Linked DNA regions of Lytechinus pictus. The protein of the gene in region 1 binds, or shares a complex with, the protein of each later gene. Links are inferred from orthologs where the notes say so. Each region holds a gene or a part of one and is shown in the gene's direction. Other genes may lie near its edges.

Region 1 (7,096 bases):
GAAGGAAGGAAGGGTTCAGGCAGGGTTCTGCGGTTGCCCCGCCCCCAGTCCCCGCGTTTGCCAACAGAAACAGCAAAAAAAAAAAAGACACTTCATTTCTTTGCTCACGCCTCACGGTGCAATATAAAGGAAATCCGATATATATTTTATTTAAATAACCCTCCTCAAAAATTTCATTACATCCGATTTAGATGATGTTCAGTGTTGATTTTTATTTGTTGGAGTGGACTTCCCTTAACGAAATGTACAACCTCGTTTTGTAATTACGACTATCAATTTATGCAGAAATAAAAACAAATAAACAAACCGTGAAAATTAATATACGGTCCGCTTGCGGAAAAGAAGAAATACACAAATGAGTGGAGAGATGAAAAAAGTATAGGAATTAGATGAACTCTTTCTGTCAATAGGCCCTATTTGAAATAGTCCTTTTTAGCGAGTAAATAAATGTCCATTGGAAGAAAAAATAAGGCTCATACTTAAAGTGGAGACAAGTGCAAAAATAAAATACAAGTCTTCAGAAAATAAAAGGGAGAAAATATTACTTCTCATTTCGATTATATAACCAGTCATGTTTGTCATTTCGTCTTCCATTAGTAAATTATCACCATGAATTTTAACTTCCTCCACTAAAGAAAGTAGGCCCTATCTTGATTTCACCATTCATTTCAAATTTTATTGCTGTTTTTTATCTTTTGGCTTCGTGCATGGCTTGCTGATCCTCCCTATATTTCACAACTATTTTAGATTTCGTACTTAAAGGGATGGTCTGGGCTGAAAGTGGTTATAACTTAATAAATAGAGTAGAAGATCACTTAGCAAAATGCCGAAAATTTCATCAAAATCGGATAACAAATAACAAAGTTATTGAATTTTAAAGTTTAGCAATATTTTGTGAAAACAGTCGTCATGAATATTCATTAGGTGGGCTGATGATGTCACATCCCAACTTGTTCTTTTGTATTTTATTATATGAAATTAGGTTTATTCAATTTTTTTCCTCCAAGAACTAGAAAAATTGGATTGACAACTGACTTAGTGCATAAAATATTTATTGATGAAACTTATTTCATTATAAGGAGAAGTTATTCACACAAGTATGAAATAATGAAAAAATTATGATTTTATGTAATAACATAAGAAAGTGGGACATCATCGGCCCACCTAATGAATATTCATGACGACTATTTTCACAAAATATTGGTAAACTTTAAACTTCAATAACTTTATTATTTGTGATCCGTTTTTGATGGAATTTTCGGCATTTTGCTCAGTGAATTCTACTCTATGTATTAAGATATAAATATTTCAGCCCGGGCCATCCCTTTTATAAGTCCCCCGGATAAGTTAATTCATAATTCATATCACTTTGCCTTGGCTAAACATCCTTGTATGAATCTTCTCGAACATCTGAATATAGGCCTACTGGCCCCTGCTGGAGTTTGATATGAGCATGGACCTATAGGTCCATGATATGAGAGCCTTCACTATATAGACATAATGGTCTCTATGCTGGCTCTCACAATTGCGCCGTGTTCCGTACGTGTGTTTATTTTTATGTACAACTGAGTTTCAATTTTTGTAAAGGGGGTTATAGTTTATGTTTTAATGAGAATTTGAATATACTAGATTACTAGTGCTAGAGGCTTGGCACATTGGGGAACATAACCTGACCAGAGACGGATCCAGCCTTCGCCAATAGGGGGGGGGGCCGGATTTTTTCCAGCAATATTTTCCCCGATCGGCCGCTCGAAGATGATTTTTGCCGGGATTTTTTTGTTTCTTTGAAGGGGTAGTCCTAATAGTCACTTCTTAGCTTTATTCTTATGAATAAACATAAATATATAATACCATAATCCTTATTTATACAATGCGAGCGCGAAGCGCGAGCTATTTTTTGGGGGAAATATTGTGGGTTTTTTTTCTAAGTTCTTGAACATTCTGGGCAATGTTTGTTATCCTGAAAAAGATGTGTATGCAAATGAAAAATTACTACGACCGTGAAGCGCGAGCAGAAACGAACTGATGGAAAAGGTATTGTTAAATATTGCAGTTAGCCATGAAGACGCTACATATTTTAAAAATCAAATAATGCGAGCGCGAAGCGCAAGCTGAAATTTTATGACAAATTTACCTAAGAAATGGAAGCACTTTTTGTAACTTAAACAGAATAGGTATATAAGTAAACAATAATGATGCGAACGCGAAGCGCGAGCGGAAAAATTCGAGATTTAAACCTACTGAACATGACACTCTATTCAGGTTTTGTAAATCATGAAAAGGATGCAAGTGGGGATCTTCCTTACATTAATAATGCGAGCGCAGAGCGCGAGCAGAATTTTTTTATATACGTTTTGAACAGATCGAAAATGTACCTGTTAAGGACTGCTTGCACTTAGGCATGAAGACGTTACATATTTCAACAATCAAATAATGCGAGAGCGAAGCGCGAGCTGAAAATTTTTTACTTTTCTACATAAAGAATGTAACATTTTAATCAATTTTTGTAATCGTGAACAGGATTATAATTAAACAATTGATGTGAACGCGAAGCGCGTGCGGAAAAATCGAGATTTAGACCTACAAACGGGACACTATTCATGTTTTGTAAATCATGAAAGAATGAGTAGGGGTCTACCTACATTAATAATGCGAGCACAAAGCGTGAGCAGAAAATTTTTGATATTTACGGTGATCTGAAACTGGATAATGATTTAAATAGAGAACAAGTTGACTATCTGAATACGCGCGCGTGTTTCATATTTAGATATTGAATCTAGGCATTCTTAATACATCTTTTATTATGAAAATCAAAGCGAGCGCGAAGCGCGAGTTTAAACTATTTAATATTCCGATCTGAAAAAACAGTCAATTTCAGCTCTATATTTCAAGCACTTTGTAGGAAAATTGTGAGGTGGATATGGATCGCACTTAATAAAGAGCTGATATTTTAATTATTATTACTTTGAGTTTTAACATAGGACCGGGACATCCTTAGGAAATGCATATCAAAATGATAACTGTCTTCCTATTCCTCTTGCTAAGTGCGAGATGAAACAAAATGGACAATTTAATCATTAAATTAATGTCTTATTCATTAACGCCTGAGGACGCAAAATCTGATGATATTATGGCCTGAAAACTGGACATTTCAAGCACTTGTGTAATTATAAATAAGATGCATCAAGTTAATATATTTTAACCATTAATGCGAGCACAAATCGCGAGCCAAAGTTTTTGATGAACTGTCATGAAAAGGGGATTTAAAGTATAGTTTGTTGTATAATCAATATTGCGACATATACATAACTCGCCGATCAAAATGCGAGCGTGCAGCGCTAGCTGATACGTTTTGACTTTCAGACCTGAAAAGAATATTTTGAAAATTTAATGGAATACACAAAAATAATAGGTACCTGATAAATCAAAATTTGCGAGCGCGCAGCACGAGCAGAAAATGTTAATATTTTAGACCATAAAACTGACATCTTTACAAAGCACTTTTTAAAAACAATTTGTAAATCACACAAAATAATGAAAGTTCGATTTCCGAGGTGAAATATGTTTTGTATATTGACTTCCAAACTTGATTTTTAAACTTCATATTGAACAAGATATGAAAATCACCTAACAGGCAATGCGAGCGCGAAGCGCGAGCGAAATTTTTATACCATGAGTGACATGAAAGCTTTTTCCAATTAAGTCTTCCCCTCATCTTATTTTATCAACTCATCTTAATCCTCTTCTTTTTCTCCTCTTTTCCCTCCTTTTCCCCCTGTTTTTTCTTTCTTTCCTTTTTTTTTGCTCCGCCAATAGGGGGGGGGCCGGGCCCCTTGGGCCCCCCCCCCCCCCCTGGATCCGCCTATGCTGACAATTGTCTTTTCAGTAGGCCGATCTCGGGGCCGATCTGCTCCACATTTTTCTTGCTATAGGCCTACCGAGTTCCTCAACTTTTATGAAGATCTACATTGAAGATTTGTCATGTTTGAATGTAATAAATTTTTCTCTGTTACAATTAAGAATAAGGCTATCCTTTGTTATTTTACTTTTTTGATTTACTGGCATGCGAGCAGCAATCATTTTAAAATACCTGTTAGTAATAAAATTGGCAACGCAAAACTTGACCACCAGCTCCATGCCGCTCAAAAATGAACGACAGTTTCGTTCAATTATTGCGGGTGTACAAAAGACGAGAAAGACAAAAGATGGCTATCCGAAAGAAGGACGGTGGTGCTGATTTCAAGTTTTTTGAGTCCGCTGACATTGCTTCCCAGCTTGATAATGTGAAATCATGGCTTCAAAGAAATTGCAAGAGGGTGAGTATTGTTTAGGGGCCAGAAATTGTCATATTACAGTCAATATAATGCTCGATCAAACTACCGTACCTTTTCCGAGTCTGAGATAATTCGTGTGCGGCTGCGAATTCTACTTGCTTCGCCGCGCCGCGGCCATGGCGGCAGCGCCCCGGAGCCAAGGCCTGTGCCTGGGCTTGCCTGGAGCCCTAGTAAGGCTAAGCTGAACCCGAGACCGAGTCTTTATTTTATGGCGAGTTTTCCAACATAGCTGACATTTGCGGTCATTTTCAGCTAAATGTATCAAGAGGAATTGTAATTCATTCTCTCATCTATTCCTATGTTGTGTCTCTGTCTTTTATTTAATGTGAAAAATATAGTTAGATTCCGCAGTTCAAATTCAACACAAAGACAAAGTCACAAGTCAGTGATTCAATTTCAAACAATCAAAATTGAATCAGCAAAAAAAGATATTGTTAATTTTCTGTTAACAGGCTAGAATAGATCTGACATTGATAAAAAAAAAAAAGGGAATTTGTTGGCAGCTGTGTGCACAAGAAGATGTAGACAGGAATAACCGTCGTTTCTGGGGATTTATTCAACAATTTCTGACATTTTACTGTAATCCCCATTTACCGACGGTAGGGTGTACGTGTGGGCTCGCATGTGTTCTCATTCCCTCCCTTTTGTCAATTCACAGTCCAAAGTTTGATGTAATTTTACACATCGAATTTACAATCTAAGGATGTATAAACAACAAACTTTTAAAAGTTGATATTTAAATGTTTAAATACTTTAAACGATATAGATGAAAAAGGCATGAAAAATATACTTTACCGATGTTTAATTGGGTTGAACACGATAAAAATGGTCAAAATGGCAGCCACACTATAAAATATTTACAAACGAACGTCAACAATCACGAATGTGATATCGATATTGCTTTCGATATTATACGATCTGCTCCATATGCGAACGAAACCGAAGATAAACGATACTACTTATACTAGTACTAGTACTAGTTATAATCGCGATATATCGATTCGAGACATTAAGTTAATAACGATAATGACGTCATTCAAGATGGCAACTTGCAAGAAAAACCGTCAGGTCAGGTGAAAATGTCTTAGATGACAGATTTCTCAATCATCCAGAGGATTTTTTTCAATAACTCCGGCCCAAGGTATGCAATTACTTAAGTTTTTTATATTTCCCTGATAATGGAAACCATGAAACTTTCAATTTTGCTTAAAAAACAGTTTTAAATCGCGATCTATAAAACGCTAGTTCACTATACGTTGGCTGTAGGTACGGGGCCCCATCCCCTTCAGTCTATGTATGGTGAGTGGAGCCAACGTAGTTCAGCGGAACAACCAAAATACAGAGACTGAAGCTTTTGGTCTAAAGAAGATGTTGACATATTATTTGGATGGAGCGAATGTAATAATAGTACTTGAGTAGTACTAGTATACTTGTCAGTTGTCGGCAGAAATGAATGAAGATTTTGAGATGGAAACATGATTGATAATAAAATTTAGGGTGTAACATGGTCTTCGAAAAGACAGAGTGCCCTGGAATAATATGTAATAATAGACATAATAATGGTAGTTACAGTGTTCTGTTTTTTTTAATGATCTTTTCTGTTTCTGAAAATTTGTAATTCCGTTTCAAACTTAACAGTAGAGGCGCACGGCCAATATGGGAGACTCTATCCAATAGGGGAGACAATCTCCCATATTGGAAACTTGCTTTACAAAAGAACAAAAGAAACAACACCAACAAAAGCATATTTTTTTCCATCAAAAATTTTGTCTCGCTGAGGTCAGAAGCCCATTTGTTTTGTGTGTTGATGACAACAAAAATCCTTATCAAAACAAAAGTAGATGGTGAATTTTTAAAGTAGACGGTGAAAAGGGGTAATTTTTCATGAGGAATCTGCTTATCACATTTTTATTTGCCGCCAAGGTAATCCTTTTGCAGCAAATGTAAACAAAGGAAATTGGTCTCCCAAACTGGAGACTGTCTCTGAAATTGGATACCCAAATTCTTTACAAAAGTCTCTGATATTGGAGATAATCTCTCTCATGGGAGACAGTCTTCCATATTGGCCGTGCACTTCTACTGCTTAATGAACAGATGAGTTAATCTCTAAGGGAAATTCTGTTTCATTATACTGTAGAAAACATGCAAAGCATTTTGTAGCCAAGGTACATTGTGTAAATATATTGAATTTTCTCATGACAAATAAAGAACCAAGACAAATTTTCCATTTTTATTTACCAGTAAATAGAAAATCACATTCCTTATATTTAGTCTCAAAAGATTCATAAAGATCGGCAAACAGTTTTGAGGTGGAAACATAATCATATCAATATGATGTATAATATTTTATGTGTACATGCTTGTTCCCGGAGCATACTGTCAGTAGAGGCGCACGGCCAATGCCGGGAGACTCTCCAATATGGGAGACTTGCTTTGTAAAAGAACAAAAGAAACGACACCAACAAAAGCGTAATTTTTTCCACCCAGAATTTTGTCTCACTGAGGTCAGAAGCCCATTTGTTTTGTGTGTGGATGACAACAAAAATCCTTATCAAAACAAAAGTAGACGGTGAATTTTTAAAGTAGACGGTGAAAATGGGTAATTTTTCATGAGGAATCTGCTTATCACATTTTTATTTAGAGAATCTCTCTCATAGGAGACAGTCTCCTATATTGGCCGTGCGCCTCTACTGACTGTGTTGTATGATATGTTATCAAATAATCTCAAAATTGATAAAGATTCATGACATATCTGTTTTTTG
Region 2 (7,814 bases), about 34 Mb from region 1:
GAAGGAAAAAAGAAAGAAAGAAAGAAAGAAAGAGGGAATGTGAACGAATGGGTGAAGGAGAGAGAGAAAAAATGGAAAGAAAAGAGATGAATGGAGAAGAAAGAAAGAATAAAGGAAAGAAAAAAAAAGGTTTCCTTCATTCTTTGAAATTAATAAAGAAAAAGGGAAAGAAAAGAATGGAAAGAAATAAAAAAGCCGGAGGGAAAAGAAAGTAAGAAAAAGGGAAGAATGAGAGAATGAAGAAAAAAGATTTCCTGCATTTTTTGAAAGAAAGAAAAGAAAATAAAGAAAGAAAGAAAGGGGAATTTCAGGAAGGAAGGAAATAGCAAAAAAGGAAAGAAAGAATAAGGAAAAAGAGAAGGAAAGAAGAAAATAAAGAATTTAAAAAAGGATAAAACTTTAGTGGAAGGAAAGAATGAAGTGAAGAGAGAATTAAAAAAAGAAGAAAATAATGGCAGAAGGAAAAGACAGAACAAAAAGAAAAAGGAGAGGAAGGGAAAAGGAAGCAAAGAAAAATTAGAGGAAAGAAAAAATGAAGAAATTTAAAGAAAGAAGGAAAGTACATGTAAGAAAACAAAGGAAACAAAGAATAATGAACAGAGAGAGAAAAAAAAAAGATCAGGAAAGAAAGCTAGGAAAGATTGAAAAGATAGATGGAACAAAAAAAGGCAATCGGGAAAGATAGAAGAAAGGATAGAAAAGAAAGAAAGAAAAGAAAAAGAAAGAAAGAAAGAAAGAAAGGAAGTAAGGATTAAGGAAGGAAGGAAGGAAGAAAAAGAAAGAAAGAGGAAGAAAGCTCAAATTTGAAACAAAACAAAAAATGCAATCATCTAACAAAAATCTTGCTGATATTTGTTTGAAATATATTTTAAAAATTGTTGGAAAAATAAAAGTTTTAGAAATTAAAAACATTTCACAGAGAAACATTGACAAACTTAAAAATCAAATGAATCATCGCGGCATCGTGGATTTGCACGCATCTTTCTTCCCACTACACCGATCAAAACACTCAAAACAACGGCCGAAACTGGTTATGAAAACTCAATAACTTGCTCCTCCGATCACATCACCAAATCAGTAATCTGAGAATCCATATAAGTATAACAATTTTTCGCCGATTTTGTGATTATTTTGTTGGAAAAACTATTTTTCATGTGAGCTTGGTCACTTTGATTCGGAGTTTGATCGGGGATAGTACAGGTATGCACAGCAGCATGGAGATCCATGCATGCCTGCCACATAGGCTGGAATCTGAGCTGGACGCACCAGCCACATGTATGTATGCTGACTGTGTGTGTGTTTTTGTGTGTAGATCACAAAAAATGTCGCAAACTGGCTTGCAATTTGAATTGAGGGAGGTTGTTAACTTTGTTTTTTTTCTCTCTCTCTTCTGTATTTTTGAGTGTGAAGTATGGGGAAACTTTGTAAAATTTCATTTCACAGTGAAAATTTTGCTTGCCCGATTCGGGCAAGTAGTTTTTGTCTTTACTTCAAAACACTTGCCCGACTCTAACTTTTACTTCCCCCGGGCAATCGGGCAAGCGCTTATGTCGCACCCTGTCTTAGAATATTTCTGGTATTTTCTGAGAGTGAGAGTTTATCATCAATTGATTGTGTACTTAAGAGTGTATCATGAGTTGGATTTTCAAGTAAACTTGTGTCATCAATCAACTGTATTTAGGGGTGGCAATAACGATTCTGGAACATCTTTTGTATCTTGAATTCTTACATTAGCTCTAACGTGTTGCTGGGAACACCTCACAACGGATTGACTGAATATAAGCACCAATGCATTTACAATACTGACACATTTACAATAACTAACATATTTACAATCACATTTGTATGGAAAGTCATTTACTTTTTTGACTGTTGACTATCACCCAATGGGGGAAAGCCAGATGGACCCCGCATTATCATGATATCATGAAGACCTTTTTGGAAGTTGATCTTCAATAAAAAAATCCTCACAGTTCATACAAAATCAGCTTTAATCAACATAATTGTATGGGCCTAACCTTAGTGATTGACTACTTGATAGACCTAGCTTATTATGATTACCGAACACGAGCATCACACGCGTCAGAAAATAATTTCAATAGACCTTATCGCAAATAGATTCACGCAAAGTATCGCGGGATCGAAAAGGGGGCATTAGCGCCGCTATTGTGTATGATTTCAGTGTATGATTTCCATCTTGTATCAAACTACGATCGATGCCCGCAGATAACATTTTGCTAACTTCCAGTAAACGCCTCGTCATATTTGTTCCAGAATCTAATATCACTTTTCTTCTTAATCATGGGTGGCTGAGATAGATGTGCTGTCAATTACTGTAAGAATATCATGAAGACAAGTGCAATTTTTTTTTAATTTTTGTGCACTGTCTGTGGGTGATTCTGAGCTGTGCAGCTGTGACTGAGCAAAATGCTCTTCGTATGCACAGACTGCGGACTGTCTTGCACTCTCAGCCCAGTATGCCAGCGAGGTGGAGGAAAGTCCCGGAAGCAAAATAAGCTATTGGGCATTTTCACTCTAACTGATGTTACATGGCACAATTTTTCACACCTTTCATTGTGTGTATCTCCAAAACAACAATTGATGGGAGTTTGCTTTTGATAGAGTCAATAAAGTGAACCTTGCTTTATACTCTGATACTAAGTTTTTCTGTGTAACCACATTTTTTTACGCATCAGCAAGCAAAAATGTGTCGGTAACTGACGTTACGCAAAAAATACATGCAATTTCAGGGTGTTCAGTAAAATTGAAATATCCCGTGTCCCTGAGTAGATAGAGTAATAATTTGAATATGTAAATATACCTCTGTTACTAGGTTAAGATATGTCAAAATATAGAATAATTTGTTTTTGTCTTTTTAGGGCTATGATAATTTTTCCACGACCATGCTGGTAACTGACGTTAGCCTACACTTAATTTGCCATAGAGATAACACATGGAAGTCAAATGTGTGGAATCATTGCATTGTATCTTCTGTGCAGGGCTTCACATGAAAGTGAGCTTGATGTGGAAGTATACCTGAGTTTTTAGGAACATTTCAATGATTCCTTTTCTTTGACTTGAACATTTTTATTATTACTTGTTGGTAACTGACATTACACATTAACATTTATCAGTGCTATATTAAGCTAATAGGTTCGGAAAAGTACCCCCTCCCCCTCAAAAAAAAAAAACAATTATATACTTAGTAAGTACATGTACGTATGCAAAACAATTTCAGTGTATTTTTTTGCACAATGGGAATGCAACTTCCTTCATAATTTTATTTAGTATTCCTTGTGAACTACACTGTACCTTTTAAAAGTCAATAGCAAGCTCCTTCTGGTGTGATTTAAACTAAGTGAAAGACTTAAATAACAAGTACATGTATACAATATTTCTTCACATAAAATTGACCACATTTGCATTTCACTATTGGTAACCAACATTTTATCATGGTAACTGACATTACATCTCGGTAACTGACATTACATTTTCCACTTGGTAACTGACGTTACATTTTCCACTTGGTAACTGACGTTACACATATTTAATGGTACCCTATCATCCTATGGCTTGATTGTTAATTGATTATCTTTAATTTTGGTGTAGAAGGGAGGGGTGTTACCTAAGGAGGAAATCTACCAAGTTTCATATAATATATCCTCTTTTCTGGGAAATGAGAAAAAAAATCATGTTTTTGGTAACTGACGTTACATACCCTATCACATACTTCATCAATATTTCTTTATCAGACAAATTAATTACTGGTGTTTCTTTCTAGATGGGATTTGATAAAGTGTTATAATAGCAAGCTAAGGCAAAGGGAAAACATGATCAAACCTGTTCTTTAAAAATCTGTCAAAACAAAATATGTATCAATATACCATTTTCAACACTAATTTGTATGCATACTTTGGCGGCCATTTTGAAATAAAAAATGGCTGCCAGAGTCGGAAAAAAAAATTGTCCCAGAAACTTCAGGTCTTGTATTATTATAAAACATAATTCATTTGACATGAATATCAATTTGATTTTTTTGCCTCTGTGTCCATCTGTGGTGAAAATGCCCTAATGATCATCAAGAAACACATAAACTTTGCCGTAGATTTTATTACTTTATTTTAAGTTCTATATTTTTAGATGGTAATATATCAATCGATTGTCAAGAATACATGTTTTATAAGGCTTTTATAAATAATAATCTTCATCATGATTTCATTCAGATTAGTGTTTTCTTTTTCTCTCCGCAGATACAAATAAATTATTTACACCAGAAAATTAAATGTTTAATAGAGTTTGACTTTGATATTTTTTAGGCCTACTAGATCAACTACATCATAAAAATGTGTTTTTATTTGATTAATTGATTTAATAATTATACTGCATATATATATATATATATATATATATATATTATGTGCTCGCTAAGCCCCAGCGACACTCTTCTTTAAAAATGTATTTGGTATTCTCTGTTTGTCTTTTGTTCATCCTTCCTTTGTATACATTATATTTGTTGTGATTTGATATGTGCTTATATTGTAAATTGTTTTTACGTTTTTATGGAAATGTGGAAAAATACACCTTGAACTTTGAAATGTTAATGAAGGTGCATTTCCATATTTGCTCTTCACTGTTCTTCGTTGTTAATTATAAATCTTAGTCCTGGAACTTTTTCAAAATTTTGTTGTAAATTTGTTTATGCTCAAAATTTTTATTGGTAATCAGGATCCTCTGTGTTTTGATCTTTCAATATTTCTTTTGTTTTGTCTTACATGAAACAAAGAAGAATATATCTTAAGAAGTATGTCAAAGCGAAGAAGGTCAACCACTACTGATGTTAAAGATGATGATGATCTCCACACTTCTCCAACGTCTGTTGCTATCAAAAGAAGAAAGAGGTCCGTCAATGTCAATGATGCTGTAAGTATATGATTTCATCTTGAAGTATGATCTGTCAAAGCTTCATGGAGGTACGGATATTCTTTATTTAGTTTATTTGTTTCTTTGTTAACAATAACAATTTGATGAATATTTAATTGTTTGTTTCCAAAAGTGGAAGAGATGTCCGTGGCTATCTAGACTCATAAGCCCGTATTCTGAAGTAGAGTTTTACTTAGACCATGGTCCAACCCTGTAGTAATATTATGGGAAGCCAAAAATATTGTTTACATTGTATTTTTCTCATGTTTACCATGTTCTCTCTTAATTCTTTAATGGTGAAGGCAACTATGCTATTTACCCTCTCTGTTAAGAATGTTTTGAGAGTAAAATGAGCTAATAATTTGAACCTCTACTGTTTATGTCACATTTGTCTATCCATAGTTAAACCACAACTTAGACCAGAATACAGGTAATAGTCCCAATTCTCATGTCACATATTCATTTAATGACACACTTGCAGTCCAGCTGTTTGCAGTCTCACCTTTTTCCTCCTTTTCAATGTTTTTCCCGAAAGAATATCTTCCTTAAAATATCAAGATGGGAATATATTTTTTTCAGTCCTTCCACCCTTTATATAGAGTACCGTACTGGGAAGTGTCGCATAGCCAAATGCCTTTTCTGATGGCAGTCAAGGAAATTTGACATAAGAACAAACTTGATTTTTTCTCACCCAAAGTTTGCTTTAAATACTCAGGAAGTGTTCCTTTTTTAATGTCATTCAAGCTTGCTGTACAGCTTGTAAACTTAATATGAATATCCTTAAATTTATGGTTTATAGTGAGGTTCTCCTTTATAAGTTCATATTTAATGTAGTCCAATTTCATGGAAATGTGCTTTCCACCAGCATTACAAACATATGAAACACACATAGGATGCGAAAACATAGAAAAAAGATGGTGAACAATTATACAATACATTTAAAACAGACAAACAAAAGTATGATTATAAAGGAATTTATATTATTCATCCTACAAATGCGAAATTACAGCGTGAAAAATTTATATATTTGATTTTTTTTTTTAAAATACAGGGTGAAGTAATTCAGGAGTTATATGACATCATCAGAAACTACAAGAATGAAGATGGTAGAGTTATATGTGAAGCTCTTATCAGAATTCCCAAAAGGAGGTAAATATAATGAGTTCCTGATATTAAATTTATTATATCACTGGTTCTATCTTTTAGTGAAAGCGGTGAACATATCTGCAAATTAACTACATTGCTTTATAAGAAAAGGTTACATTTAATTTCTTTGAAAAATCCTCATTTTAATGTTGACTGTCTATTGACATGAACAGTTGTTTCGGTGTAGAAGAGCTTATTTAATTGTTTGATTTTGAAGTGTCTCAAGTTGTATAACAGTATATGGCCTGTTTTTTAAAGATAATTCATAATAGCGTTACCATGAATAAGACATTTGTGTGAAGTTCTCTTGGATTGAAACTAGAACAACTTTAAGATGAATGAGGGAACTGATGACAGCACTCACTCACTTTTTCTTTTGTATTTTATTATAAGAAATATGAAATACGTGTATTCTTATTTTCTCCTCTTTGTCCTGTGAAACAAAGTTTTATTTCTCACTGAACATGTGGAATTACCAATGTTTAACGTTATATGGTTCTGTCGAGTTGGTCCTTATTGTCAAATCTATAAAAATTGAAATATTGTATAATTCAAACAATAAAAAACAAGAAATAGTGAGTGAGGGACATCATCGATTTTCTCATTTGCATGTGACTAAATTTTGCATATAACTATTTTGTGAAAAATAAGCCAAACTTTGAAATGTCATAACTTTCTTATTTTACATCCGATTTTGATGAAATTTTCAGCATTATGCTTGTCTAATTTTTTTCTTTTGATTCAAATCAACATTTTTATGAGGTGGATGAGCATTTCATATGTCTATTTTGACAGGACTACACCAGAATATTATGAAGTGGTTTCTAACCCCATTGATATGCTGAAGATTCAGCAGCGTATGAAAACAGAAGAATACGACACAGTGGATGAAATGGTGGCTGATGTTGAGCTCATGGTTAATAATGCACAGGCTTACTATGAGGTAAGATATTTACATTTTACTGAAAACTAGATGAGAGTTTGTTAAATGAGATGTCAGAACTTCCCTTTCTGGATGATTTAAGAATTTGACAACTTGTTTATTTTGTTTTTTCCTTATATTAGGGTGATTGCATACACGGCTAAAACAAGTTTTAAAACCCTGCTTCCCACACAAAGCCCGATGCAACTTGTTTGTGCTCATGTGTTTCAGCTGTATTTATGTTGTACCACATTTATACTACAGACCATATTGCAGAACTTTTCAAAATTGATGTGGTTATTATTAAACTGGATAAATATTAATTTTGTGCTATTGTGCAACAAAAAATTCACAAAAATTCTCAAGGTCTCCATTCTTATATCCCATTGTTAGATTTTCATTAGGTAAAAAGGCTCTGAGAGGTATGAGAAAAAAATAAAGAAACTGAGTAATGTGTTTATACATTATTCAAGAATACATTTTGTCATACATCCTTGATTCTTGATCCGATATTCTGTGACAGTTTTCAGTACTGTACAAGCTGTTATTTTCGCGTACAGAAATTTTCGCGAATTGCGGGGGTCCCGACATTTTCCACGTACGTGCAGTCGCCGCTGGCTAACGTCAGCTTAATGGACGACGCCATACTGCCAGATTTGGCCCGCGCCCTCACCGGCTAACGCTCGAACGCCATTCATCCATACACTAATTCCTCTTGATTACCGTTGATAAAAACCTCGTTCAAATCTTTTCCAGAGTTCCTATGAATTAGTGATGGATGTTTTTCCGTTAATCAAATATCTTTTATTATACCAATATTTTTGTT
Region 3 (6,829 bases), about 10 Mb from region 1:
TGTATATATTTATAAGAAGACCTAAATCTTGAATTTATATTTTATATATATAAAAGGTGTGATTTTCTTCGGCAAATTATATGATATATTACAGTCTGGCATACATAAATGCTTCTGATGACCACTTCGCTTCGTGGTCATCAGATGAGGTTACACGTCCCACATGCTCGCACTGTTACTTATCAGAAAACTTTTATTCCTGATGCCATTAGACTGTGGAATATTCTCCCTGCCATTACAGTTAACTGCACTTCGGTAGCTATAGCTTCAAGGCTGAGGTGCAGAAAATCCAATTGCGCTAAGACTGCGCTGATTTTTTTTTTTTTTTTTTTAATTCTACACGGTACGATGATACACCAACCTGGTGGACTGTACGGATGATGATGATAAAATAATGTTGGAACGAAAAGAGATTACGATGGGGAGAATGAGGAAGCAAGGGCTGATGGAAAAGAAAGGGTATATGGTATAGGTTAGGAAGTAGAGAGGAAAAAGGTGAGAGGGGAATATAGATAAAGAGGAAGAGAGGGGGGTGAAGTATAAGGAAAAGGCCCGGGGAAAAGGGAAGTGGAATCAGTCCTTACGCCAACCTGAACAGCATAATAATGCCAGGAAAATTTATAGCAAATAATTATCTCTGGATGTCCAACAATCATATTGGGGAAATTGGAAATTCAGAATGAGAATGAAGTGGAATGAAATAAATTCGTTATCAATCAATCAATCAATCAAGTGTCATGTCGGTCCACTGTTGCTCACTCTTTGCATTGTAGATCACGTATGATCCAATTAGTGCTAATTAATTTACTCATTGTAAGGATAACATCTTTGTATTTCCTTGAACTGTCTTAACTTGCTGTTATTGTCTCTATTAACCACCCTTCTACTTCCGACTTCAAAACATATTAGATGCGACTCATAATTCTTAGATAATGATGTCCCTATTCAGTTGAACGTACCTCACTTCCTTTCATTCTCTCACCAATGATTACCAAGATATTGACTGATTATGATGATTTATGAAATAATTTATTGAAAAAAAATGAATGTTTGGTTGATCACATCGCACATTGAATGAGTTGATTTATTAATTAATTGTTGATTAAAAATTAATGATTGATAGGTAAGGTTGATTCCCCAATTCAGAATTTATCATCAAGTCAACATCCTGCTCTGGACTTCATGCGTACATGTAATAGCAATCAGTCTCTCAACAGGAGGTGAGGGCGGGAGAGAGGGAGGGGGGGGGGCTAAATGTTCTGTTGACCCTTCCATCAACCTCTTCTCCCACTCGAGTCCTATCTCATCCCCTATATTCTCCCGACTCTCATGATCACATTGCTGAGATCCACGTGATAAAGTTGAAATGCTGCCCCAAATTAAGTGCAATTTGTGTTCACTCATGAAATTTGCTTAACAACAAAACTAGTCACGGTTGATCATAAATTTATCACAACACCCTTAACCCTAAAAGGACTGGGCTATTTGAGACGTATCAGGGGTGGATCCAGCCTTCGCCAATTGGGGGGCGGAATTTTTTTCAGCCACATTTTCCCCGATCGGCCGCTCGAAGTTGATTTTTGTTTGTTTCTTTGAAGGGGTATATAGTCCTAAAAGTCACACAAGCTTTAATCTTATAAATCAACGTATATATATATAATAATCTCATAAACCTTTTAAAAAAGAGCGAGCGCGAAGCACGAGCTATTTTTTTAAATTATTTTTCATTTCATATATTTTGTCCTAAAATTAAAACATTCTGGGCTATGTTTTTTTTTATCCTAAACGAGATGTGTATCCAACTAAATAATTAATATACGTTTTGATCTGATAAAAAAAATCTGTTAACAGCTGCTTGCAGTTAGCTATGAAGACGTTACATAATAATATTGTTTCAACAATCAAATAATGCGAACGCGAAGCGCGAGCTGAAAATTTTGACATTTTCTACCTGAAGAATAAAAATTCTAAGCACATTTTGTAATCATGAAAAGAATAAGTATATAACTCAACCAAAAAAAAAAAAAGACATTTACACCTAAAAATGGGACACTCTATTCATGTTTTGTAAATCATGAAAAGGATGAGTAAAGCGAGCGCGAAGCGCGAGCTTAAAATATTTGATATTCCGATCTGAAAAAGGGTCAATTTAAGCTCTGTATTTCAAGCACTTTGTAGAAAAATGGTGAGGTGGATATGGATCACTGTTAAAGGAGAATGAAACCCTTGAAACCAGCTGAATCCATATCAAAGAGAAAAATCAAAGAAACATATTGTTGAAAGTTTGAGGAAGATTGAATGAATAATAAGAAAGTTATGAGCATTCGAATATTGAGATCACTAGTGCCATGTAGATCCTCCCAACGGCAATGCGACCAAGATCTGTGATATCACACACGTACAACTCCCTCATTACTTTAGTACTTATTTCACTTATATTCTCACTTTTATAGAGTCTATCACAAGGTGAGGTGTTTTCTTTATGAGATGACAAGTACAGAGGTTTCACAACATTATATCATTGATGAATCGTTTGTCATATGATTAGAATGAGCAAAAAGAGATGTTTTGGGGTATATTTTCAGTGTCCAAATGGGAGAGTTGTACGTGTGTGACATCACAGATCTTGGTCGCATTGCCAATGGGAGGATCTCCATAGCATTAGTGATCTCGACATTCAAATGCTCATAACTCTTTTATTGCTAGTCCTATTTTACTCAAAGTTTTGTTGATCTTATTCTTTGATTTTGCTGCTTTCACAAAAGCTAACTTGCTCCAAGAGTTTCATTCTCCTTTAAATAAGAGCTGATGTGTTTCATTGTTATCATTTGAGTTTTGACATAAGACCGGGACATTCTGAGAACATTACTGTCATCATGTGAATGATAACTACCTTCCTATTTCCCTCCTAAGCGCGAGATGACACTTTTCGATATTCCATTCTGAAAAAGGGACAATTAATTTGATTATTAATATTATATTAATCTTATTTATTAATCTAATAAGCCTAATGAGAGCGTGAAATCTGTTAATATTATGGCCTGAAAACTGTACATTTAATGCACTTTTGTAATTATGAATAAGATGCATGTGTGAATAAAATTATTTTCAACAATCAATACGAGCGCAAATCGCGAGCCATAATTTTGATAAATTGTCATGAAATGGCAATTTAAGTAGTTTGTTATATAGAATTAATATTCGCTGATGTGGTTTACGTACGGTACACCATGTGGAGTATTATAGAAACAGTGGATAGAAGAAGAAAAAATAAAAAGAAAAAAGAAAAAAGAAAAGAAATGGATAGGCGAGAAAGTGGAAATTTGAGAGTAGAGTAATCTTTCTTGAATGTAGTCCTGAAAAGGACTGTAAACCAAAAGATAAGTTGAAACAGCTTATATACTCCGGTATACGAGTGTAGGATTGGAGCTGTGATTTTCTTCATTTCTTTTCTCTGTCATCTCCATCCTATAGGTTTACTTGCATACTAGTAGACCTATATATCTAACATATTTTCAGTAAAAGCCCTGGTTTTAATTTTTGAGACACACCTTCTCGACTTTAAATCCTTGTAGATAACCTAAAAATAAAAAAAAAATAATAATAAAAATAAATAGAAAAGAAAAAGAAGAGAAAAAGAAAAAAAAAGAATAAGAAAGAAATATTTGAATATTACTTTATAAAAAAAAAAATCAAAGAAAATAACGTTAATAATACAATATTTATGATGGCGAAAATAGTCAAATTGACTGATTGCCAAATAAAAAGAAGAACCCCCCCCCCCCTCTCTGTTTTGATCCTCCGATCTTCTTGGAAAATAAAACTAAATTGCCGTCTGAAAATTAGACTACATCGGGGAAGAATCTGCCGGAAAAAACTAAACTTGCCGTAAAAGACTTCTTTTTTTTCCACATTTGGGAGAAAACATATTGTTCTTGCTGTAGGTAAGTATATGTGTAATTCTATTCATTGTTAAGCAAACCTAAAATTGTTTTGATTTTATTGTGTGATGATGTAAAAAATGAAAATTATAAATAACAAATCTTTTTCTACTGTGCCATTTTGCTTTCTTTGTTCAGCAAGGCATCGCGTCGCCGCTTTGGTCCCCAGCACTTCCCGCATAGCGTCGCATGCAGACGTGGAAGTTCAAAGCGCCCTGCGTCGCGGGCTCGGCGATTAGTAAATAACGTGCAAGGAAGGTCGCCATGGCATGCTGGCGCTGATGCAGTTTCGCACCGGCCACTTTCAAACAACAAATTTCCCCACCAGTACCGTAAGTAACGGACTATAAACCGCACCCCCAACTACTTTGGACTAAAAAGAAAAAAAAAAAAAAAAAATCCTCACATTATATTTGAGGTACGAAGAAACAAAAACTAAGTCTAAGTTAAAGATTTCAAAGTATCCAAAGAGATTACCGGTATGCAGAAATCTGCTGTTCTTGATTGATTCATCTACAAATGTTTGCAAGAAAGAAAGGTCCCTACAATATTGGCCACTTACACAGTCACGGTGTACACACACACAGCACTGCCGTTCTTGTACATTGCAAACTACGATACGGTACCAGTGTCAGTACATCTTATCAAATAATGATCTGTGTCTTTCCCGCCGTAGGAGGAAGAAACATTCACATTTCTTGCATCACAAACTCACAATCACTTTCAGAATTTGTCTAGTATTCGATGTCTTGGCATGAATTTTGGATACGGGATTACAGGAAGGTTCAAGAAACAAAGAAATTGTCATTTTTTACAGTTGTTTTGACGGCTTCGTGCCGTCTCTCTCGTTGCGTGGTGTAGGTGGTATCTTATGAAAAGCAAACAGGAAAGAAAAAATAAGCTGGCGCGAAACGGGACTTTGGAGGGGATCGAGGGTTAAAATGAATAGCGCCAGCTTAAGTCGCACTGAAACCACAATACAATGCAAGCTAGCTCAGCTAACTCAACTCTTGCGCTCGATCAGCTGTGACAAAATATTACCGAGTATGCTTGGCTTCTCTTTGAACTTAGCCAGGGAACTTCGCTGCTTTGAACCGAGAATAAATTCGAAATTAGTGTCATGAAGGTGGGTGCGTTTGTTATAATCGCTTCTCATTACCCACAGCTCATTCCCCTCTAAACGACATTGCCCTGGGCGGCTACGCCTGGCCACTCGATGTGTTGTGAACTGGCAGAGGGGTTACGACGGGCTGGCTCAGACCCGTCACCGTGGATAAACCGCACCCCCGACTTTTGCTTCTATCCCGCCGAGAAAAAGGTGCGGTTAATAGACCGTTACTTACGGTTATTGCTTGCTCATGTCCTTGTCATCAGCTGTGCTGATGGTGATCGAGCGATCAAAGAAGAACCTGGCTGATCCTGATCTGTTTGTCTTCAAAATTCGCTTTCTTCTGGCATTACACAGGCCTATATGTAATTGTGCTAACCATTGATTGGTAAATATGAATGATCATAGATCCTGTTATATTTTTTTTTCATAGGTGGTTAGAACAATCAAGATGTCTGGAGCTTCCAGAAGGAGTATGGGAGGGTTTATGAATACATCCCTTCAATCCTGTAAGTGTTTGGCATGAAAATCATCTTTCTTGCAAGTGTGTAATTAGGTTTTTACAGATAAATTTTAATGTACATGTATGTACACCAGGGTCCTTTTTAAAAAAGAAATCTATTTTTATGAATTTGTCAGATCAATGGCACTTTGGCTTTCAACCAGTCTTATGAGGTGTTGCAAGAAACTTGTGATCAATTGCAATTCAATTTTTGGTCCCCAATCAATCATAAGTCTTGCAATTAATTACAAGTTTGTGATTGATTGCTATGCTAATCTGCTTCCTGAAAAAAAGAGTGTAATCTGATTTGCTACAGCTAAACTTGATCTATCAATTGTAAAATTAGAACAGAATATTTGCAAGTGATCGCAAATATTTTCTTGCAACACCCCCTTATAATGAAGATGAAGGAAGATGAGATGTACAGTTCGTATGTACTTATTAACCCTAAATAGACTGGGCTATTTCGACGCCTAAGAAGACTAAGCTGATTTGGTATAAAACATAAAGTCTTTTGTAACTCAAAACCAATCTGACTGGAGTTCTCAAGTGAACCTTTTTTATCACAGTCAAATCAAGACTATAGCCAGACAGTTGTTGGACAGCCTTAAATAATAATCTGTATGTTATAACTTGATTCTGAATTGGGGGAGTGGACAATTTAGTGAGAAGGGGGAATGTAGTAAATAAGAAACCCATAAAATGAGTGTGCATCAGAGGTTTAGCTAGAAGAAAAATGAGTAATACTTTCTAAAGAAAGTTGGAATTGGTAAACATATAGTTTCCTGTTATACTTCCTGCAGAAGAATTGATTAAGTATTAATTACATACATGTATATGTAGGTATTGATATATCAATGAATATGTGAGATATCACATAACACAATGATCATCAGTATTTTCAGAGTAACAGGACTCAGCAGCTAAAATATATGAAGGTTTCCATGGTAGTAGTTGAAATCCATGGCCTGGAATGGCCACTTCTTGGCTTAATTTGCATCCTCATTATACCAAAGTTACCTTGATCATTCATAATTAATAAAACGGTCCCCTTGGACCATGTGACAGATGTGACCTGTTTCAAAACTTCGCAGATTGAGTTTAAAAGCTTCCAAATGAATTCTTATTAAAATTGATTTACCTTTTTTTTTTTGGGGGGGGGGGTGGTAAATAACAGTGAGGAATTGAAGTGAACATGTATCTAAAAAAATATACATATGTCAAATCAATTATATGTTTTAATTTTTATGTCTGTGTGTATGAGTATTGTAAATCTGT
Region 4 (7,167 bases), on another chromosome or scaffold:
ATTTCTCACTTTTATAGAGTCTATCACAAGGTGAGGTGTTCTCTTTATGAGAGGACAAGTACAGAGGTTTCACAACATTATATCATTGATGAATCGTTTGTCATATGATTAGAATGAGCAAAAAGAGATGTTTTGGGGTATATTTTCAGTGTCCAAAAGGGGAGAGTTGTTCATCTGTGACATCATAGATCTTGGTCGCATTGCCAATGGGAGGATCTCCATAGCATTAGTGATCTCGACATTCAAATGCTCATAACTCTTCTATTGCTAGTCCTATTTTACTCAAACTTTTGTTGATCTTATTCTTTGATTTTTCTGCTTTCACAAAAGCTAACTTGCTCCAAGAGTTTCATTCTCCTTTAATAAAAATTGATAAAGATATATGGTTATGACAATCGGGTGACAATAAATTGACACTTAAATTTTTTTTTCTTTGTTAATTCATAAACACCAGATTGAGCGTCGCATAACAAACAAAAAAACACATACACACAAAAAAAAGGGATTCAAAAGGATTGAGAAGAATGGAGTAGAAAAAAAGGGTAGGGATCGAGGGAGAAGTGAGCTGAGATAGCGATAGAGTAGAAATTCAAGAGTGAGACATGGGTCAAATGGAAATATATCAACATCAAAAACGATAAAAAATAAAATATGAGGAAACAAGGGAAAAGAACACTGATTGTAATTAAGCATGAGTCAAGGACATTCGTGTTGCAATCAAATTAAGCCCTGTACGTCCTGTGTTTGTGTGACTGGATCGAGTGGTGGGAGAAAAAAAGGAGTTTATCATTCCTTATATCATAATGGCGGAAGAATGTTTGGCAATAATGCACTGAAAATATGATGAAATTAAATCATTCTGGTTGCAAACAAAGTAAGAGAATGACGATAAAGGAATGTAAGGAAATAAACAATAGGTCTGTTTTTTCCAGCCTCGGCGTCTCTTGCTTAATCTAGCCACCCCGCCCCCCTTTCTCTCCATTTTCTTTTGCTCTCTCTCTCTTGATCATTTCCCCCTCCATCTGTCTCTCGTATCTTTCGCTCTCTCCTTCTCTTGCTCGACTCTGTCCATTCTTATCTTGGATGCTCCATTTTCTTATAACTATTAACTACTTATCCCAGAAAGTACGTGATCTCATCTCGACCCGACTTTCATTCAACGAAGTTCAGAAAGATGTAAATTTGAGGGCGATGACACGAGCGTGCATTAAAATTGTGCACTCGCGCCAAGCTCAACAGCTCTATGATCTTTTTTTGTTTGGGTTTCGAGGAGACGGCATCTTACGGCAATAAGTTGTTGCATGCTGTACATCGTAATTTCGAGAGAGACATCGCGGCAAGTCAGCAGGGCTAATTCGAGCCATGAGAGTTGTCCAAATGGTGACATTTTATTAATTATCAAATCAATATCTCTTCGACAGAAGATCGTCCCTCCTTCTGCGGTATTATCGCGGTAATACACGAGATTTTCATTTAAAAATCTCGTGGTACATTACCGTGGTAATTTCTCTCAGAGCGCGACTCCCGCCGATGGAAATTTGCTGGTGGTAATCGCGCGCGACCCGATTTCACATCGACTTACGCGGTACAGGGCGGTAAAGCGTCAACTTTATTCCGAGCAATACTGTATGCTTCTCAAGATGAGGAATCACAAAAGATATTAAGAAGTAGAGGCATATGCACATCAAATAGAACTGCATGTGCTTAAGATTAAGAATGTACAAGTTTGGTTCCATTTCATCAATTTTGGACCATAGCTGGAATTTGTGAGCATATGATAAATTAGATTTTCCCAAAATGTATACATGTAAAAATGATATGAAAGTGGACAATGATTTTGGTCAATCTTACAGTTTTCTCCATACTAATATTGCACATGCAGTTATCATCCTTGTCCTCTATAAAAAGTCAGATTACATGTAATACCCCTTTCATAAACCCAATTATGCGGCTAATAGCAGCATAATTTGGTCGTAAAATCGGAGGAGGACCAGAGTTATCCGCATTATTCTGATGCTGCTATTATCCGCATAATAGCGGCATCGGGACAAGATTTTGAGTTTATGAATGTATTTCCAAATAATGCGGATAATTGCCATGGTGCGGTCACAAGGTCACCCTTTTCCAACACAACCGCATCGGAGGGGGCGTGTCATGACGATTATCCGCCTTTTTCAGGACGGACGCTCGTAAAAATAATGCGGATAATTTTCAGAGTTTGTGAACGCAATTTTTATTGAATTATCCGCATTACTATTAGGCGGCTAATTGGAGGATAGGTTTATGAAAGGGGTATGAGTGTATGAAGGTGCAACATTTTCCAATCCCGTAAAACTTGTGGAAACATGCATTTCGAATATTCAAGGTGTCTTTCCAAAGACCTCTCTTTCTCCATTATTAATATTGAAAAGGTTCACAAGTGATATTGATTGTAAAAATAGCAACATAAAACAATAGTCATTTGCTAATAGCATAGTAAGTTGTATGGTAGAGTGTGTTGATGCTAGCTACTTCTTGCCAATTTACATGACAGGAAGGAAATTACAGATCAGATGGTATCTTATATCACGGAGGGAACTTCCAATCTATTGGTTTTATTGCTGACCATGAAGCGAATTTTGATATTTCCATTCATATGTTGATTAGCATTCCGGCAGCTTGCAATACAAGTTAATAACTACACATGTTCATTTCAAAGTACCCTCTTAAAGGGAAATTTGCTATGTTGTATTGTTTGAAATAGGAGTTGTAAAGGAATTAAAGGGATGGTCCGGGCTGAAAATATTTGTATCTTAATACATTGAGTAGAATTCACTGAGCAAAATTCCAAAAAATTTCATCAAAAACGGATAAGAAAAAATAAAGTTATTGAAGTTTTAATTTTAGCAATATCTTGTGAAAACAGTCGTCATGAATATTCATTAGGTGGGCTAATGATGTCACATCTCCACTTTCCGTTTTCTTATGTTATTACATAAAATCATTTTTTTTTCATTATTTCATACTTGTGTGAATAATATGTCTCCCTTATAATGAAATAAGTTGCAGCAATAAATATCTAATGCACTAAATCAGTTGTCAATCCAATTTTTCTAGTTCTTGGAGGAAAAAAATTGAATAAACCTAATTTCATATAATGACATACAAAAGAACAAGTGGGGATGTGACGTCGGCCGACCTAATGAATATTCATGACGACTGTTTTCACAAAATATTGCGAAACTTTGAAATTCAATAACTTTGTTATCTGTTATCCGATTTTGATGAAATTTTCGGCATTTTGCTCAGTGAATTCTACTCTATTTATTAAGCTATAAATACTTTCAGCCCGGACCATCCCTTTAAGTGAAGGTTCTAGGAAATGCCAGACAAAAAAAAGGTGTGATTTGATAAAAAGAAGGAATTATTTTTTTGTTGAAATCTATAAATTAATGTTCCTGCTGTACAGAGGTTATGAATATAAAATTGTTACTGTTTTTTTACAATACAAGCCCCTCAACATCCCTTAACTGGGAGGCTGTTCACACTACGTTCCTAAAACTAGTTTAGTGGAAACTAGTTTAACGCGTAGTGAGAACGGTCGAAGCGATCTTCCAAACCGGTTTGGAAAACCACCTCGCGATGTAGTTTTCAAGATCGCTTTGCCTCGTTAAACTGGTTTTAGCGTAAGTGAGGACACAACCATTCTTCGGGAAGCGATCTTCGCACATTTTGAGCGCGCTACTCCACACGACAGGTGTAGAATGCCAATGCTGCGGTTTCAAATTTCGCGCGAAACATGTCACCCCTCTGAGAGCGTTTTCATAGCAACAAGAGCGCTTTACGTAAAGTGATTTTGAAAGCCACTTTCGTGTGATCAAGTGGGAACGCTAGCAAAGCGATCTTCCAAAGTGGTTTCCTGAATCGGTTTCCAGTAAGCTAGTTTTAGAAAGCGTAATGAGAACGGCCTCTGGTACTCTTTGCTATGTATAATATGCTTATTATTCCTGCAACAACTTCTAGTTTTAACCTTCAGTATACGTTTTTCTCATCTCACTATTTATTTTCATCCTTTTCTGACAGGGTTGTGATACAGTAGTAAAGGGGTTATTTCATCTTAAAAAGTCTTAGGTTTTTATTTTATTTTTGATCATTTTTAACTGTCTTAAATTATTTGAATCAATGTAAAGACACTTTCAATTGATAGCAAATGTACTGTAATTCAAAGCAAGTTGGTTTGAGAAACTGTCATTGTGAAAATGATATCTTCTTATGCAGACAAAATCAGACAGACACATGGCTTTGCCAAGGAGAAATGCAGGACGTCAGAGTACGACCGAATACTCCATTCTCTCCAATCTGGTCTCCCCAACGAAGTGGACTTCGCCATCAACATCTGCACGCTGCTCTCCAACGAAGGCAAGCACGTCATCCACTTGGAGAAAGCACCCATGTTCATTGACCTACTGCTCGCACATGCAGGCATCTTCTATGAAGGTATTAGAGATGATCTCCTGATATTTCAGGGATTCTTTTTTCTTTTAAATGGTTTTAGTGAAAGAAAAGTTTATTCCAAGACCCATATCACAAAGCTTAGTAATTTATCTATTGCCAACTCGTCCACTCATCACACGGTCTATCTTCATATAGTCTAATGCCATTCCTTCCATCAACATTTCGTCAACAGCCATTTGGTCTAATAACCATTTGGTCCAATCATCGCTTCGTCTAATCACCAATTCCTCTATGACTATTTCGTCTCCTAACCAGTTGGTCTGCTACCCATTTTATTTTCATTTATTTCACCCAATTAACACTTAGTCCAATTAGACCAGATGGTATATGGACTAAATGGCTATTAGACCAAGTGGCTATTAAAAGAAATGGCGAGTGGATGGAATGGAAACTAGACCATGTGGATATTGGACAAACTAATTGTAGCCAAATGATGGTAGACGAGTTGAGAATTGGACGAAGTGGCATTGGATCAATTGGAAGTTAACCGATTTATCATATAGATGATTTAGATGGTTGATTGATTGTAATGAAGCAGAAAAAATTCCTATGATTAAGCACTATGCTTTGTGTTAGATGGCCCCTGGCCCTGGGAAGTGTTTTATAAAGTGATTTGGGGAGAATTGATTGCATAGACCACAATGTACAATTGTTTGTGAAAATCACTCGCTATCGTTTGTGACACGGGACCCTGGCCTCCTTAAAGGAGAATCCAGTCCTGGTCATAATATGTTGTGTTTGAAAGGAGAAAAATAAATAAAACAGAATGGTGAAAGTTTGAAAGAAATCGGACAAGCAATAAGAAAGTTATGGCTGTTTTAAAATTGAGATCTCTAAGACTATGTAGATTTCAAATTGGCAGCTGGGTAAGTAAATTATGACAAGAGGCAAGGACAACTTTCCCATAGGCCATGTACTTTATTATCAGGGATTTGTGGTTTTCTCCCAAGTACCTATTCCCCTGGGGCTGTAATCTAAATATAGCCTAGGTAGTATATTGTTTTATGTCCTCATGAAAGAAAAATATAATTTGAGGTAAAACATTTGAAAAAAAAAATCAATTTTAGTCATTTTATGTATTGGAGTACATGGAAGAGTAGTCCTTGCCTTACATCACTTTGACATCACATTTGTTGCCAATTTGAAATCTCCACAGGTATAGTGATTACCAATATTCACAACTTTTTAAAATTCATAACTTTCCTATTGTTTGTCCGATATTGTTCAAACTTTCACCTATCAAATTGTCTGATTTTACTTTTTCCTCTAAAAGCAAGTTTTTATTTGGGTCTTTTAACCCTAAAATGGCCGGGGGGGGGGGTTGAATCAACCCCCCCCTCAACATTTTCTGCGATCATTCCGCCGCGCGAAATTTTTTGACCACGCCACTCGCAGAGTTTATACTTTTAAGTCTCGCGCATCTTTTGAGACCAAATTTACGACGCCCGGGTACGCGGTTCCGAAATTACGCAACATTTTGTAAGTGCATGTCAGACCAAAAATTGTTCCAAAACGTGATTTTGTGTACAAAGTCAATGCAAATTGAGTTTTCTCATCTTATTCATAAAGATATGATTATTTTTACTTTAAACAGCTGAAAGCAATTGACTTAAGCATAAGTATGCTTCAAAAAGGTTGTGCAATAAATCTGGTGAAAAAAACAAAGAAAAACAAAAGGTTGAAAAACAAAGAAATACATAAGAAATTCATAAAACAATAAAATACATAAAAAATTGATTTCCAAACCAAAGTTTTTTTCAATTGCCATTGTTAAGAATGCTACAAAGAATATTTTTACCAAAAATTAGCATTCTAGGAGCTTTATTTAGTGAATTAGAGCAAAAAGTATGATTTATGCATAAATTAGCATAATTAATTAATATAAAATAAAATCTCATTATTTTGGAAAATTTTACCATACAGCCTTGTAGATTACATCGCACGCTACCAGCGTGCAAATTTTTGTGGCGCTCGCGCGATCGGTGGCCGAGATCTCAGGGGGGGGTTGAATCAACCCCCCCCCCGGCCACAGAACAGCCAAAAAAGCCCGGCCTAGTTAGGGTTAAGATACGAGTTTCATTTTTTTCTCAGGACCTGGAAGTTTGAGGAAGCTATACGAAGAAGACTGGGTGGAGAAAACGAGAAGAAAATTTGTACAGTTCTGGTATGACACCATCAGTGACAAAGAAGTCAGGGAGGTGATCGGTCCAGGATCTAAAAAACCAGAAGGTAAATATCATCACTTTGTATAGTAATAAGATACTTCTACCAACCAATGATTTTATGGGAAAGCTATCGTATGATCATCCCAGTAAATTGATATTTTTTCTCGCCTGAACAAAACACTTACAGTTAAACACATCCTCATTGAATGTGCTGATTTTGCACATATTCGTACTAACTTTTATGATGTTCCTGACCTTAAGACATTATTTAGAGATATTTCACGATTATGTATTGTAAGGGTGCGTTTATCCGCCACTTTTTTACCCTAGAATCATGATCTGAATCATGATTCAAATCATAATTCTGCAGAATCACGATTGCGTTTAGTCGAAATTGAATATAATCATGATTAGAATCACAAACATGAAACACGAAAAAAGGGGCGTTTGGAAAGACGTTTCTGCAGAATCACGTACGAAAATGTTCGAATAAACGATATCGTGATTT

Evidence for each region.
Region 2: SWI/SNF complex subunit SMARCC2-like (region 1) and protein polybromo-1-like share a complex: the UniProt entries of both Homo sapiens proteins name them as parts of the SWI/SNF-B (PBAF) chromatin remodeling complex. The link is inferred for Lytechinus pictus from reciprocal best matches to the Homo sapiens genes SMARCC2 and PBRM1.
Region 3: SWI/SNF complex subunit SMARCC2-like (region 1) and SWI/SNF-related matrix-associated actin-dependent regulator of chromatin subfamily E member 1-like share a complex: the UniProt entries of both Homo sapiens proteins name them as parts of the BAF complex. The link is inferred for Lytechinus pictus from reciprocal best matches to the Homo sapiens genes SMARCC2 and SMARCE1.
Region 4: SWI/SNF complex subunit SMARCC2-like (region 1) and AT-rich interactive domain-containing protein 2-like share a complex: the UniProt entries of both Homo sapiens proteins name them as parts of the SWI/SNF-B (PBAF) chromatin remodeling complex. The link is inferred for Lytechinus pictus from reciprocal best matches to the Homo sapiens genes SMARCC2 and ARID2.

The regions. Positions count from the first base shown.
Region 1 is NC_087247.1:25,345,081-25,352,176, reverse strand, and holds the start of SWI/SNF complex subunit SMARCC2-like, read left to right. Parts: upstream 1-4,095; 5' UTR 4,096-4,148; coding exon 4,149-4,316; intron 4,317-7,096. UniProt on the Homo sapiens protein: Involved in transcriptional activation and repression of select genes by chromatin remodeling (alteration of DNA-nucleosome topology).
Region 2 is NC_087247.1:59,697,023-59,704,836, reverse strand, and holds the start of protein polybromo-1-like, read left to right. Parts: upstream 1-4,787; 5' UTR 4,788-4,803; coding exon 4,804-4,920; intron 4,921-5,971; coding exon 5,972-6,069; intron 6,070-6,861; coding exon 6,862-7,009; intron 7,010-7,814. UniProt on the Homo sapiens protein: Involved in transcriptional activation and repression of select genes by chromatin remodeling (alteration of DNA-nucleosome topology). Required for the stability of the SWI/SNF chromatin remodeling complex SWI/SNF-B (PBAF).
Region 3 is NC_087247.1:14,971,989-14,978,817, forward strand, and holds the start of SWI/SNF-related matrix-associated actin-dependent regulator of chromatin subfamily E member 1-like, read left to right. Parts: upstream 1-3,819; 5' UTR 3,820-3,944; intron 3,945-5,482; 5' UTR 5,483-5,500; coding exon 5,501-5,558; intron 5,559-6,829. UniProt on the Homo sapiens protein: Involved in transcriptional activation and repression of select genes by chromatin remodeling (alteration of DNA-nucleosome topology).
Region 4 is NC_087263.1:4,093,163-4,100,329, reverse strand, and holds the start of AT-rich interactive domain-containing protein 2-like, read left to right. Parts: upstream 1-4,157; 5' UTR 4,158-4,238; coding exon 4,239-4,476; intron 4,477-6,585; coding exon 6,586-6,723; intron 6,724-7,167. UniProt on the Homo sapiens protein: Involved in transcriptional activation and repression of select genes by chromatin remodeling (alteration of DNA-nucleosome topology). Required for the stability of the SWI/SNF chromatin remodeling complex SWI/SNF-B (PBAF).